2 linked regions of the Ovis aries genome follow. The protein of the gene in region 1 binds, or shares a complex with, the protein of each later gene. Links are inferred from orthologs where the notes say so. Each region holds a gene or a part of one and is shown on either strand. Other genes may lie near its edges.

The links. Proteins that work in one complex are often made in the same cells at the same time.
Region 2: the proteins of GRK1 (region 1) and RCVRN are in contact, whole or in part, in an NMR structure (PDB 2I94), measured with the Bos taurus proteins. The link is inferred for Ovis aries from reciprocal best matches to the Homo sapiens genes GRK1 and RCVRN. Residues at the interface, in NP_776598.1 of Bos taurus: Phe3, Gly4, Leu6, Glu7, Val9, Val10, Ala11, Asn12, Ser13, Ala14, Phe15, Ile16; in NP_776590.1 of Bos taurus: Lys22, Trp31, Ser34, Phe35, Glu38, Cys39, Phe49, Ile52, Tyr53, Lys55, Phe56, Phe57, Tyr86, Leu90, Thr93, Ser94, Phe188, Glu189.

What each region holds. Positions count from the first base shown.
Region 1 is NC_056063.1:86,081,178-86,089,329, forward strand, and holds the start of GRK1 (rhodopsin kinase GRK1), read left to right. Parts: upstream 1-3,401; 5' UTR 3,402-5,670; coding exon 5,671-6,360; intron 6,361-8,152. UniProt on the Homo sapiens protein: Retina-specific kinase involved in the signal turnoff via phosphorylation of rhodopsin (RHO), the G protein- coupled receptor that initiates the phototransduction cascade.
Region 2 is NC_056064.1:28,839,229-28,846,031, forward strand, and holds the end of RCVRN (recoverin), read right to left. Parts: intron 4,424-6,803; coding exon 4,312-4,423; intron 934-4,311; coding exon 818-933; 3' UTR 437-817; downstream 1-436. UniProt on the Homo sapiens protein: Acts as a calcium sensor and regulates phototransduction of cone and rod photoreceptor cells. Modulates light sensitivity of cone photoreceptor in dark and dim conditions.

The DNA of each region.
Region 1 (8,152 bases):
CCATATCTGGGCAGTGGACACGCCGCCCGGAGCCACATCCGTGTGGTCTGGGGAGCCTTGGCGGCCTCTGACACTGGTCCCAGCCCTGAGTTTCTGAGCGGGCTGACCTGCGGGTGGCCTGAGTGTCTGGACCACCCCCCAGACGCCTGTGGTGTGTGGTCGAACCAAGGAGCCTTGGCTGCTAAGTAGCCAGGGCCGCGACCTTGGCTCCCCGGGGAGCGGACACCGCCCAGGGATGCGGCGCCCTCCTCTACGATGAGGCCACAGCAGGCAGGGGTGGTGGACCGCAGGCCCCTTCACAGACCCGTCAGAACTGGCTGGGTTGACGGGGATCGCCCGCAGCTCTAGCTGTGCAGCCGCCCACTGTCCTGCTCCCTCTGAGGGACCCACAGGGTCAGATAGGAAGGTTTCTTCCAGGGTGAGAACTATGAAAAACCCTCCAGGCATTATGCCATTTTCTTCAGGGTGATTTAGAGTTTGTCAGCAAAATGATAAAAATTCATTTATCATTCAAAATGATAAAGTGTAGCATTTTAGCTTGGACTCACAATTTCTTGGGTTTCTTAATGGGCGCTCTCCTGCACTCTGTTCCCGGTCACGGCTTTGGAACTTCAGGGCAGTAGAAACGCAGAGTGTGGCCTTGGGCTTTGGTCTCACTGTCCACGCCGGTAGAGCTGGGACCCCAGGCGAGGAGGCTCAAGGTGCAGGGCAGCAACTGCCAGACGCAGACTGCAGCCCTGGCCTGCACAGTGCAGACGCCCGGGGCTTAGTCTGGGGCTGAACCCTCATGCTCAGGCTCTGAATTCCCACAGCATGAACGTGTGTGCTGAGCTGCAGACGTGCTGTCTCAACGACCTTCTCGGGACATGTGTCCATGGTTGGGGGTGGGCACTGGGAGAGGGCAGCTTCCTGCCCAGCATGCCTGCGGGACCACTTGAGCAGATGACCTCCGAAAAGGGTGCACCCCAGACCGTGGGGGCTCACCCCAGGTTCCCACCTAGGGGCCGTAAGGAGCAGGATCCACCCCTCCGCTCCTGCTCGGGGGCCCGAGGAGTCAGAGGAAACTGAAGCGCTAGATGGGAGGAAGATGCCCAGTGGATGACCACTGATCAGAGCAAGACCTGGGAAGACCTCAAAAGGGATCGAAACAGGAGCGTCAATAGGTGTCAAGACTGGGGTGACAAAGGCTGGTGTCATCGACAGGCTGTCAAGCTGCCGCAGTGAAGGTGCTTCATTGAGCATCTGTGAACATGCGTGAACAAATGGGAAACAGAAGCAGGGAGTTTAAGGAAAGAAACCAAAGATACAAAGAAGAACCAAATGGAAATTCTAGATTAAAAAATACAGAAGCCAGACTAAAAAGCTCAAAGAATGTATTCCTCAGCAGAGGGGAGGGGAGAGGGGAAAGGATCAGTGACTTGGAAGAAAAAAAATAGAAGTTTCCAGGTTTGAACAAATAGAGAGAAACTAGAGCCAGAAAAAATTGTGCTGAGCTCGGTGCCCAGGTTTGGTAAAGACTGACGCCCGAGTCGTTGGGGTCCTGCAAGGGCAGAATAAAGGGGGGTGAGGAGTGAGCCTTCAGATCCAAGAAGCGGAGAGAACTGCTAACAAGGCACCCCACCCCTGCCACACGGCAATCGAACTTCTGGATTTCAAAGACACACACGTGCAACTCCAGAAAGCAACTGCTCAAAACAAAAAGGACTTCAGTCCAGTTCAGTTCAGCTCAGTTGCTCAGTCGTGTCCGACTCTTTGCGACCCCATGAATCGCAGCACGCCAGGCCTCCCTGTCCATCACCATCTCCCGGAGTTCACTCAGACTCACGTCCATCGAGTCCGTGATGCCACTCAGCCATCTCATCCTCTGTCGTCCCCTTCTCCTCCTGCCCCCAATCCCTCCCAGCATCAGCGTCTTTTCCAATGAGTCAACTCTTCGCATGAGGTGGCCAAAGTACTGGCGTTTCAGCTTCAGCATCGTTCCTTCCAAAGAAGTCCCAGGGCTGATCAGGTGTTCATCTAGCAGAGCGTGTACAGGGCTTTTGTACTGAAGACCACAAAGTGACCGTGAGACAGAAATCTACACGGATGCAGACACACAGTGTGCTCACAGGTTGCAAGACTCTACACAGATGTCCATGCTCCCCAAACTGATATGCTGTCTTAACACAGTTTCTATCAACATCCAGGCAAGACCTTGTTTTGTATCTAGGGATAGGGCTATTCTAAAATTTATTTAGAAAGGCCAAGGAACTAGAAAAGTTAAATATTTTATTCTTTATTTGAAATATTTACTTTTTTAGAAAATATTTTAAAAATGAAAAATAAGGTAGGAAGACTTGGTCCGCATAACTTCAAGGCTGCAAGGACAGATAGAAACACATCATCAAGACAGTGAGGGGCAGAGATCGATAAACACAATAGAAAACTCAGAAGCAGATTCATGCCCACGCGCCCATGGACTTTGACAGCAGCGCCAAAGACGTTCACTGAAGCAAAGATGACCTTTTTAGCACATGGAGCTTGAGCAACTGAACGTCCAAAAACCCCGACCTAGCTCACAGCTTGCAAAAAAATTAACTCAAAATGGTCATGGATTTACATGTGAAAGTATACAACTTTTAGAAAAAAAAATGTGAGAAAATCTTTAAGTGGTTCTTAAAGGTTAAGACAGAGTTTTAAGACTTGACACCAAAATAAGAAAAAAAAAACTGAAAAATTGGACTTCAAATACAACATCAGAAAAGCAAGCAGTCCAGTTAGAATGCGGTCAAAAGACGTGAAGAGATATTTCACCAAAGAGGATTCGCAGATGGGAAATAAACACTTGCATAAATGCCCAACATAACCGGCCAGTGAGGAAATGCAAAGTAAAAGCACAGTGGGGTACCACCTATCACAAGAGCTGGAATGAAAAATGGCGACAACTCCAAATGCTGGTGAGGATGCTGAGAAACTGGGTTGCTCATACGTTGCTGGCAGGAGTGGAAAATGGTAGTTGGGGTTCAGTGGCTAAGTCGTGTCTGACTCTCTGTGACCCTCTGGACTTCAGCACACCAGGCTTCCCTGTCCTTCACTGTCTCTCAGAGTTTACTCAAACTTATGTCCGTTGTGTTGGTGATGTTATCCAACCATCTCATCCTGCACCATCTGGGGAAAAGTTTGCCAGTTTCTTAAAAAATCAAACATGCAAATATCGCAAGTGCCGCATGACCCAGCAATGCTCTCGGGCACTAATCCAGAGAAACTAAACTTTATATCTGTATGGATATCTGTATGTTTATAGCAGCTTTATTTACGATAGCCCAAACTGGAATCAACCTAGATGTCCTTCAACAAGCGAATGATTAAACCAGCCATGGTCCCCCTGCACTGTGGAATACTACTCAGGTGTGGGTAGGCAAGCCACCTGCTTGCCTCCAGGGAGTCATGCTGAGTGAAGAGCCAGTCCCCGAAGTTATATAACGTGCAACTCCCCGATGGGCGTGAGTTTGAGTGAACTCCGGGAATTGGTGATGGACAGGGAGGCCTGGCGTGCTGCGATTCATGGGGTCGCAAAGAGTCGGACACGACTGAGCGACTGAGCTGAACTGAACTGAACTTATGTGGAGTTGCTTTTCAGCTGCTGAGTAGTGTCTGACCCTTTGTGACCCCATGGACTGCAACATATAACATTCTTGAAATGACAGCTTTATGGAAATGGAGAACAGCTGAGCGGCTATCAAGGTTCAGGACAGTGTCAGGGTGGGAAGGGGTGGCTGTCTATAAGAGGGGACCACGTGGTGTCGGGGGTCCTGAGTGCTGGCTGTGTCCACGTCGGTGTGCGCTTTGATCCTGGGCTGGGTGGGGGAGGTGCTGTCACTGGGGGCGGGGCCAGGGCGCGGGGGTCTCTGCATTACTTCTTATAACTGCATGTGAGTCTACAGTTACTCTCAGTAAAACTTTAATTTTGGAAAAGGACCCGATGAGTTTAGGGAGCTCTGTGTACTTGACTCCTCTCGCCGGGCTTGCTCTTCAGCCTGTAAGCCCCGTGATAAACACGTCTAAGGTTGCTTACCCTGTGCTTCCCCCGGAGGGAGCTCAGAGTTCATCCAGCGGGCTTCGCTGTCCTCAGACCCTGCCTCTCGGGCTGCGTCCTGACCTCAGTCCCAGCCCCGTGCCAGGCCCACCGAAGCAGACCTTTATTTCTCCAGGTGACTCGAGTGCCTGGTGCCACTGGGAGGCACTGGCTCAGGACACAGAGTCAGGAACACTAAGGAGGGGACTCCAGCCCAGGCCTGTGCTGGGGCTGCTGTCCCATCTGATCCCTGGAGGGTAAAGAAAAGGCAGGAAGGGGTTGCAGCGACTGGCCCAAGGTCACCTGCTAGGAAGTGCCGCTGGACGCGCCAACCCGCCCTCTCAGTGGTGAGCCCTCTCCTCTGCCTCCCCAGCTGCTGCAGAGTCCGCCGTCCTCCCACCCCTGCAGAGCCTCCCTGCCCTCTGGAGCCCTCCCCTCCCGCCGTGGAGGCCGGCTCCCTGGCCCCTTCTGGCTGGGGCGTTCTGCATTTCTGTGGCCCTTCACCCCTCCCTTCTTCAACTGTCACCAACCCCCACCGCTTCCTCATCATTTTTCCCCTTACGGTAGGCACCGAGCACCTGCTGCCCACTAGAGCAAGACCGGCAAGGCTGTGCCGAGGTGAGCCCAGGTGCCCTGTGAGTGCGCCCCAGCTGTGTCCAAGTGTCCCAGGTGCGTCTCAGGGGAGCCCGGAGTGAGTCTAGGGCGAGCCCCGGGCGTGTCTCGGGGAGCCCCGGGCGTGTCCCGGGCGTGTCCCGGGCGAGCCCCGGGCGTGTCTCGGGGGGCCCCGGGCGTGCCCCTGGCCTCTCCATCCGCTCTCCTGCCTCTCTCCGTGGGGCCTCAGCCCCAGGTGCAGTCGCTGTGTCCTGCATGCTGCTCTGTTTCCACCTGGACGCTTCTCTTGGCATTCCTGCTCCACCAGCCACACCGGTGAGGGCAGGGGCTGACGGGGAGCTGACTCCTCGGCAGGAGCCAGGGCCCCAGGCGAGGACGCCACCAGCCTGACACGCTGTTCTCAGGGCCAGGTTGGCACGAGTGTCCGGGCTCACATACTGACCGGTGCCCTGGCCAGGGTGTCCCCTGGGCAGGGTCTCGCCTGTGGACACGCGGGAAGTCTACTCATAAACCAGCATCCGCTGGTCTCCTCGCTGATTGCTTTTCTAAAGACGAAGATGGCCCACGGTGAGGAAAACCAGCCATGTTCGTGAACCGAGGCTCCTCCTGGGCCCCGTGTCCCCACCAGGGAGCAGATGAGGCTCCGGCCCGTCTGCTCGGGCCTGCGGGCTGGACAGGGCAGCTCCCGTGAGGCAGGGGCTCCGGGCCTGCGAGGTGGGCCTGGGCCCCGCGTGCCCTTCCTCGCAGGAAGCAGTGGGCAGCGCAGCCCGGCTAATCCGTCTGCGAGCAGCTTAGGGATTGTCTTTTTCTGGCACCTGCTTGCTGCCCTGCACGTCCTCTACTCTGGCTGGGATTTAGCCCGAGCTGCGTCAGCGGGCTTCCTGGGGCTCCCACCGCCTGGCCAGCCTCCCATCCCGAGGGTGGGCACGGGCCACAGGCCAAGGGCAGCAGGTCAGGCCGGCTGGGGACGCGGGAGCCAGACGTGAACAGGGCCCGGCGCTGGGATGGATTTCGGGTCCCTGGAGACGGTGGTGGCCAATTCGGCCTTCATCGCGGCCCGGGGCAGCTTCGACGCGAGCAGCGGTCCGGCCGCCCGGGACAGGAAGTACCTGGCCAGGCTCAAGCTGCCCCCGCTGTCCAAGTGTGAGGCGCTCCGGGAGAGCCTCGACCTGGGCTTCGAGGGTGTGTGCCTGGAGCAGCCCATCGGCAAGCGGCTCTTCCAGCAGTTTCTGCGGGCCCACGAGCAGCACGGGCCGGCCCTGCAGGTCTGGAGGGACATCGAGGACTATGACACGGCTGACGATGCCCTCCGGCCGCAGAAGGCCCAGGCCATCCGGGCCGCGTACCTGGACCCCCAGGCCCAGCTCTTCTGCAGCTTCCTGGATGCGGAGACAGCGGCGCGGGCCCGGGAGGGGGCAGGGGACGGGCTCTTCCAGCCCCTGCTGCGGGCCGTCCTGGCACACCTAGGCCAGGCCCCTTTCCAGGAGTTCCTGGACAGTCTCTACTTCCTGCGCTTCTTGCAGTGGAAGTGGCTGGAGGCCCAGCCCATGGGCGAGGACTGGTTCCTAGACTTCAGGGTGCTGGGGCGGGGCGGCTTCGGGGAGGTGTTCGCCTGCCAGATGAAGGCCACCGGCAAGCTGTACGCATGCAAGAAGCTGAACAAGAAGCGGCTGAAGAAGCGGAAGGGATACCAGGTGGGCTGTGCCGCTCCGGGGGGCGGCCCTGGGTGGGGGTCGGTCCCCTGCACCCCCTGGTCATACCCGCCTGTCTGCACAGCGGCCGAGTGCCTGGCCAGGGCCGCGGGCGTGGGTGAGGCTCCACACTGGGCCTGCGGCTCGGCTCGGCCGGCTGCTCTGGGCCTCTAGCCCTGCGCCTGGGACGGGCCAGGTGGCCGTCCTCCTCGAAGCGCGGCCTGGGCGTAGCTGGCGAGGGTGGCGTGCCAGCTTCCTCATCCTCCTCGGTCTGCTGGTGCCCCCACGAGACACAGCAGCCAGTGCCAGGGAGGCTGGATCGGTTCCCCAGACCCCTCCCTCTGGCTTCCCGGGACACCCTGGTTGCGCAGTGAGGAGGCTGCCCAGGGCATCCCCAGGGCCAGTGCGGGGAGGCCAGGGCGCCCAGCTCAGCGCTGCCCGGGTCCTGGGGGGAGGCAGGGGTACACAGTGGGCAGAGGCCCCCCGGCTCTGCCTCTGGCATCAGGCTCCGTTCGGGCGGGATCAAAGTGGCTTAGTGTCTCGGATACTCGTCTCCGGCCGTGCTCCGTCTAGCGCCAGCGTTCCTGTGCTAGGGTGAATGGCAGCCCCCCCGCAGCACCCCACCCAGGGCCCCTGAGGGCGCTCTGCCCAATGGACTCCGGGGCAGCGGTCACCCTCGGGCCATCTACCTGCAATCTTAACCCAGCTGTTAGGGAACTAAGCTGCTTCTCTCCCGAGTTCAGGAAACTTACTGAACTTTTACAGTACAATCTGCCTAAGATCTTCCAATGCAGTGGAGAGAAAGGGCTTCCCAAATCAAGAAGGGCTCTTCTCCTTACCCAGCACAACTTTTAGAAGCACTTTAAAAGGACTCCATAGGGTTTTAAGATGAGTATAGAAAGAGGCTGGCGGTGCAGGGTGGCTTGGGAGGGTGCTGGCCAGTGGGCCCGGCTGGCCTCCACTGTCCAGAGGCCTGGACAGGAGGAGAGGCGGGTCTGCAGAGGTGGAGCTGGAGGGAAGGCCGGTGCTCACAGGTGCCCAGGGGCCCGCGTGGCGCCAGGGGCATTTGCAAGGCTGGTGGTTGGAGCCCCCTCGCTCGAGGCCCCAGGAGCCCTGAAGTCCCTGCACGTGACTGTCCCCAGGCTGTGTCCTGTCCCCGCAAGGCGGGGCCTGTGGGGCGCGTCACTCAGTCCTTGTGACTGCGCTGCTGTTGCTGGTCAGCCGCTCAGTCATGTCCGACTCTGCGACCCTGTTGACCGCAGCACGCCAGGCCTCCCTGTCCTTCACCAGCTCCCGGAGCTTGCTCACACTCATGTCCATCGAGCTGGTGATGCCATCCAGCCATCTCACCCTCTGCCGTCCCCTTCTCCTCCTGCCCTCAATCTTTTCCAGCATCAGGGTCTTTTCCAGTGAGTCAGCTCTTCTCATCAGGTGGCCAAAGTGTTGGAGCTTCAGCATCAGTCCTTCCAACGAATATTCAGGACTGATCTCCTTTAGGATGGACTGGTTGGATCTCCTTGCACTCCAAGGGACTCTCAAGAGTCCTCTCCAACACCACAGTTCAAAAGCATTAATCCTTCGGCACTCAGCCTTATTTTCCAAATCTCACATCCATACACGGCTACTGGAGACTATCATAGCTATGACTAGATGGACCTTTGTCAGGAAAGTGATGTCTCTGCTCTTCAATATGCTGTCTAGGTCGGTCATAGCTTTTCTTCCAAGGAGCAAGTGTCCTTTAATTTCATGGCTGCAGTCACCGTTGCAGTGATTTTGGAGCCCAAGAAGTCCACCA
Region 2 (6,803 bases), on another chromosome or scaffold:
CTCTCCCCGCTTCCTCCCTCTGCTCTGGGGCTACACTGGCCTTCTCAGGGTCCTAGAACTTGAATTGCTCATTCTCGACTCAGGGTCTCTGAGACACATCACTGTTCCACCCCCACATTTTCCCCACTCCAATCCCCTGGGTCTTAGTTGAAACGCCTCTTCTTTCGGAACACCTTCCCCTTCCCTGGACAAGTCGGCCCCGCCCACAATGCTTTGCATGTCTCCATGGTAACCTCACCACCCAAGCCGGCTTCTTCGAGGTCTATGGTCCCCTCTGCACCCTGAGCTGTACCAGAACAGGGCCGTGTCTCTTTCCTCCAGCACCACAGACCCCGCACCCTGGTCTGCGACTGCGACGGCGACACAGCCTTGTCCATGAGGCTGAACCGACAGAAATCATTTCCTTTTCCAGTTGGAGAATGACCAGTCAGCTGAGTGCCTGGCTCCTCTTGCATTTATTGGAACCTGCTTACCCAACAATCCACAAAGGAGCTTTCATGGGGGCGGGGATATTTAGGCCTCCAGTGACCTATATTTAGGGCTCCTGTGACCTAATCCTGGAATTACTACGGAGGCCTGGGCTGGCGGGCTGGGGGGAGGGGAGGCGGGCAGTAGAGTGGGTGGGACTTGGTGAATGCTTAACGACACTTCCGTTTGGCAGGGAGGTGTGCAGGAGGGTTTAATGTACTGTGGGTTGGAGGCCCTCCCGGCCCCGGGGGTGGTGTGTGTTTGTGTTTGTGTGTGTGTGCGTGCACATGTGTGCACACGAGTGTTTATTTGAGAGGGGTGGGCAGGGAGGAGACCTGAGCAGTTGACATCAGGGTTTCTTTTCCTTCAGTTTCTCCTTCACTTTTTGAGGCTCGAATTGAATCAGTCGCAGAATTTCCTTATTGGCCAGGGTCCCCTCGATGAAGTCTTTCTCTGTAAGTTTATCTGCAAGAGGAGAAAATAATACAGTCAGGATAGGCTGTTTCCAGCTGCAATGAAGCTGATCTTTGCAAGCATACCCAGAGTGGATGGCTCTATTATGAAAATACTAATCTCCTTGCCCCTGAGGATAACCCCACCCTCCAGCTCTTTCCTAGGACCCCTGGACCTCCCGGTGAACCAGCAATGAGAGGGTTAATGACAGGCCCTGCAGGGCCTCCAGGAGGCTGGGCTAGTGCTGTATCTCTTCTGATTGGTTGGCGATCCTTTCCTAGGCATTTCTGCATCCCTAATCCTAAAGGAGATCAGTCCTGGGTGTTCATTGGAAGGACTGATGTTGAAGCTGGAACTCCAATACTTTGGCAACCTGATGCGAAGAGCTGACCCATTTGAAAAGACCCTGATGCTGGGAAAGATTGAGGGCAGGAGGTGAAGGGGACGACAGAGGATGAGATGATTGGATGGCATCACCGACTCGGTGGACATGGATCCGGAAGTTGGTGATGGACAGGGAGGCGTGCTGTGGTTCATGGGGTCGCAAAGAGTCAGACATGACTGAGCGACTGAACTGAACTGAATCTACCTCCCCATTTGGGGCAAGAAAGGGCTTTGCCCCAACTATTGAATTTGGTTCTCTCCAGTTAAATGCACTCACTAAGCCCTTCCTCTGTGCCAGAGTCACTGTGTACGGGGCTGAGGTCATTGCAGGGGGCAGAGGGCAGGGTGTGGCATGAAAGAGAGTGAGATAATGCCCCTGGCCTGGGAAACTGTTTGTCTGATGGGGAGAGAGTCACCTGTGGAAGTGACTTTGTGCTGTGCTGCGCTTAGTTGCTCAGTTGTGTCTGACTCTTTGCAACCCCATGGACTGTAGCCCGCCAGGCTCCTCTGTCTATGGGGATTCTCCAACAAGAATACTGGAGTGAGTTGCCATGCCCTCCTCCAGGGGATCTTCCCAATCCAGGGATCAAACCCAGGTCTCCTGCATTGCAGGCGGATTCTTTACCATCTGAGCCACCAGGGAAGCCCAGAAATGACTCTAGAATGAGGCAAATGTTCCTTCCTGCTTATGGCGAGGCTCATAGTCCTGATGTACTAAGTGCTCAGTAAAGCTTGGCTTAACTGAACTGGGTTTCCATTGGCTTTTTATGTTCCAGGCCTTTTGAGTGACCTTAATCCTTCCTGTTTAGGATGCAGGTTCCTTGTACAGGTCAGGGTGCTGAAATGTGGGTTTTAAGGTCCCTGGTGCCCTATGAGCCTCACTGATAGCTTGAAACTCCTACTCTCAGAAGCTGATTGTGGAGTGAAGCCTGGTCTTCAGATGGACCATGTGAAAACACAAGTCACCTGGCAGGAGTACCACTGCCTCCTGTGACATTCACTGCGGTCAATATTCAGGTCAGCAAGTAGCAGAACAAGGGACTCAGCGCCTGCCAGACCCAGCAGGATGTCAGGATGGGGGTTAAAGAGCCAGAGGGGTGACGTGCCACTGGGAGGCACCTGAAGCAGCCAGGAGAAGGTGTTCAAAGGGGAGGTGACGTCTGGGTGAGGAAAGGGAGGTACCTCCCCTTTAACATTTAAGGAGGCTCTCACTTTCAGCATAGTATGGGCACAGGGCTGGCACCTGAGAAAAGGGTCTCCTTAAGTCTTGTGCCAGGGCACCTCACATGCCTCACTCTAATTCTGGCTCTAACGTCACAGATCTGGTTGCTAATCTACCTTCTCCCTGGACTGCAGATTAATAGGGGCCTTCTTTATCATCCTCCTTGGGCGTGTGACCTGGAACCCTGGTAAGAGACTGGCCCAGAGATCACAAATGGACCGATACCAGCTTCTCAGATGTGTGTGGACCATGTAGTGTTTCATCAGTGGAGGCACTTCAGATTTTAAAAATCTCAATTGCTGGCTTCTCTTTAAAGAAAAAAAAAAAGACAATGAGGCCCCAACGGATCTGTATTCCTATGTGGTAACAACTGACCAGAGGCCGTAAAACCAGGCAGACCCTCATGCCCCACTGTTTGCCAGTCCCTATTGCTTCATTGGGCCACTGTCCACTCCTCTCACATTCATCATCCCAGACCCAGTGGTCATTCAAGTTTGCAGTCCCCGTCTGACACCAGCCCCTCTCCTGTGTCCTTCCCGAGCTGGACATGGGCTTCAGGTACCAGCAGCCCCTGCCACCCAATTCTGGAATCCATCACCGCTTTCAGTACAAGCTCACCTTCCCCATTGGCTGCTCTTTGCCAGACTGAACAGGGGAGGGAGCCAAGACAGGTCAGCTCCTGGCAGAAGGGGGCCCGAGGACACACCCTCAGCTTCATCAAGACTTTCTTAGCCCAGCCCTGCAGTTTAAGACTTTTCTTGAGTCTGCCCATAAGCCGTTCATCTGCTTTGCAGTCTGATGGCTTTCCCAGCCTCCTGAAGATCTCTCCTCATTTCCCCTCATAGCACACCCCCTACCCCCATCAATCTCTTGAAATTGAATTGAAATCTAATTCCATCTGATGGTGCTTGGGGGTTGGGAGGGGGGACCCGAACTAATTTCCTAAAGTAACACCATATAAATTGAGATCCTGCATACTTGGGATGCCATGCTAATTCTGAAGTGAGCTTTACCCCATCCCAGCTGTGAAGAAGGCTACTTGTTTGGTTTAAACAAGTAAACCAAAGTGTCCTAAAATAACAACAAAACACTGGGCACTCCATTCAAAAAGAAAGCAGTATGCTTGCAAAGCCTCAAAACTTGTCATTTGTATACAAAATGATGGGCTGTTGCCTTGATTTTTTAATCTTTCTTCAAAGTGGGTTTGAAGAGAAGGCAATGGCACCCCACTCCAGTACTCTTGCCTGGAAAATCCCGTGGACGGGGGAGCCTGGAAGGCTGCAGTCCATGGGGTTGCTGAGGGTCGGGCATGACTCAGCGACTTCATTTTCACTTTTCACTTTCCTGCATTGGAGAAGGAAATGGCAACCCACTCCAGTGTTCTTGCCTGGAGAATCCCAGGGACAGGGAAGCCTGGTGGGCTGCCGTCTACGGGGTCGCACAGAGTCGGACACGACTGAAGTGACTTAGCAAAGTGGGTTAATTCTGTCCAAACAAAAGATGCTTTTTTTTCCAAAGCACCCCATCATTTAGAGCCTGCATTCGCCCCCAGAGAATCTCAGGCAGTGGTGGAGTTTTATGAGTGGTGGGAGGTGGTGACATTTTCAGTCAGTTCCAGAAGGGCCCACAACTGTCTGCTGACCATTCTTCTGCTGATCACCTTGTGGTGGGAGGAGGGGTCCTCCGTCCCACCTGGTCTCTGGACTGGGAAGAGTCAATCTCATTGGGATCTCTAGGACATAGCCCGGCACTGTGAAATCAAGGGCTGGGAAGAAGTCACTCACCATCATCCTTCTTGCCAAAGAACCCCCAGATCTTCTCTGCTCGCTTCTCCGGAGTGTTCTCATCTTCTGGGAGACGCTTTGCATCCTCAGGACTGATCATTTTGAAGATAGCCTGCATCAAATTGAGGGGGAGCACTGGTCAGAAGAAGTGATTCTGGGGGAACCCACATGGCTGAGCAGGACGCTGAGGTTAAAATGCAGATGCTCAGGCCCCCCAACCCACTGGCACCAGCTAAATCCTAGTTCTTGAGAGTGGGCAGGAGTCATCTGTACTTTTAAGAAGAGGAAGGGAATGTGGGGAAGAGGTGAGGATGACTTTCCCTTCTTATTTTGTCCCTTTCTGTACAGTCTGAATTTCCTGACCATGCAGACATATTACTTTCATTGTATTAAAAAATGAAAATAAGAAATAAAAAGCTTTCTGAAGGCTGCATTTTGAAAACTGGTACCTTTGACCTCACTGCCCAGAAGTACATCAGATGGCTTTTTCTGAATCCAAGTGGTACTTTGGTTGCCTAGCAGGCTGGCTTATGGTGTGTGTGTGCTAAGTCACTTCAGTTGTGTCCAACTCTTTGCGACCCCATTAACTATAGCCTGCCAGGCTCCTCTGTCCATGGGATTCTCCAGACAAGAATACTGGAGTGGGTTGCCATGCCCTCCTCCAGGGGATCTTCCTGATCCAGGGAGCGAACCTGTGTCTCTTCCATCTCCTGCATTGGCAGGTGGGTTCTTCAACAGTAGCGCCACATGGATTACTTATGGTAATAAGAGCTAATGTTTGTTAAGTGATTAACACGTGCCACATTTCTAAGTGTTTTTACATGTAAACTCATGACAGCTTCATGAGGTGGGTGTTATTGGCCCATTTCACAGATGGAGAAACTGAATCAGCTGACTTGCTAGAATTCGGCCAACCAGAAGCAGAAGACTGGAGATGCTAACCCTGGCAAGTTTGGTTCTAAAACCTCTGTGCTTGCATCTCATGCTATTCCTAGAATGTCTTGGAGAGCATGGTAGGGGCTGGATAAGGCCTCTGGAAGCCCCTCCTTTACCCCTCTGCTTAGGGAGGGTAAAGCTCAAGGGTCCTTCTCACTTCCCTCTACTCTAGCTAATACAGGAGCTGAGTCGACAATGTCCAGCAAAGCAGGAAGTGCCTTCCGACACGTGATCAGGAAAAGGGACGGGGTAGTCTTGATGTGCCCGTTCAGCTCCAGGTTACTAGGATTCCAGCAGGCTGGCCAGACCCAGGGTGGATGCTCAAGGTTGTGGCTCCCCCATCTTGAGTGTCCCAGCTTGCGACCGAAGTGTTGGGACTGGGATGCCGTGGAGACGTCAGGGAACCAGCCAGGCAGGGGCAGTGATGCCTATGAAATTTACCTGGAGGGAAGAGCAGTGGCTTTAGAAACTCCCTTTCAGCTTCCTGTGCTGTAGCAAGAGAAGCAAGGAAGTTGAAACCCGCAGCTGGGGCAGCTGCCTCACCGACAGCGCTCAGAGCTCCGAGGTACCCGGCAGTGAAGTAAGGGCTCCTTTAAATTCCTCAGCCGGGGACCCTTGGGCAGGCCGGAAGGCTAACGGCTGGGAGTGACTGGCTGCCCATCACCCCGCTTCTAAAACCAAGGGCACACTGTCAGGGCCTCCGGGAATGGACTGCCAAAGAACCATTACATCCTCGCCTTGGGGCGGTGGGAGGTTCTGTGGTTTTCTGGAGGCCCAGCTTGGTGGTGGTACATCAGAACCCACAACAGATGACTGACTCCCAGGCCAGTTACCTTGGACATGGTGAATAGTAGAGGCTTGGCATGCTCTTGCATAGCCTCATCTGTGGTCGTGCCCTTCTCTCTCTGCCTCCCCACGCCTTCCCACCCTCTCCTTCCTCCTTCCCTTCCCCTCTACCCCTTCATCTTCTTCCTCCTCCTTTTTCTGAAGAAGCACCAACTCAGAGGCCTCTGCTGGGCTTGGCATCCTTTAGGTGGTCCCTGCTGCAGGCCACCTGTCAATCCAAGGAGCTTGCGCTGCAGGCCCTGCCCAGAGACCAGTGAGGTTTCTACACACACCTGCCCCTAATGGGAGGCCCAAGAAGGAGTCGCTGACCACGGCTGCATCCTTGGCTGTTTTCTCTATGGTCTTGCCTAATAAGGGTGGAAGAATTGGGTGAATGAAAGTGGGATTACAAATGCCTCAAAAATTATATGAAAGATGAAGAATATTCTCTCTTTACAGGAATGGGATTAGAGAAAGAAAACAAGTGGCATGGGGTGGGGGTGGGGGGCAAAAAAAAAATCCAGTAAAATGATACTGAGTGAAGGGAAAGAAATAATAAGGAAAAAATAGAAGCATCCTCATTGTCCAAAAATATAGGAATGGTTAAGTAATTTTATGACATGTCTATAAGATGGAATTCTAAGCAGCTGTTAAAAGCAATTTGATATAAAATAGTGAATGAAGAACAGTATGATAAAACCATATGTGAATATGTCCTAATTCTAAAGTTA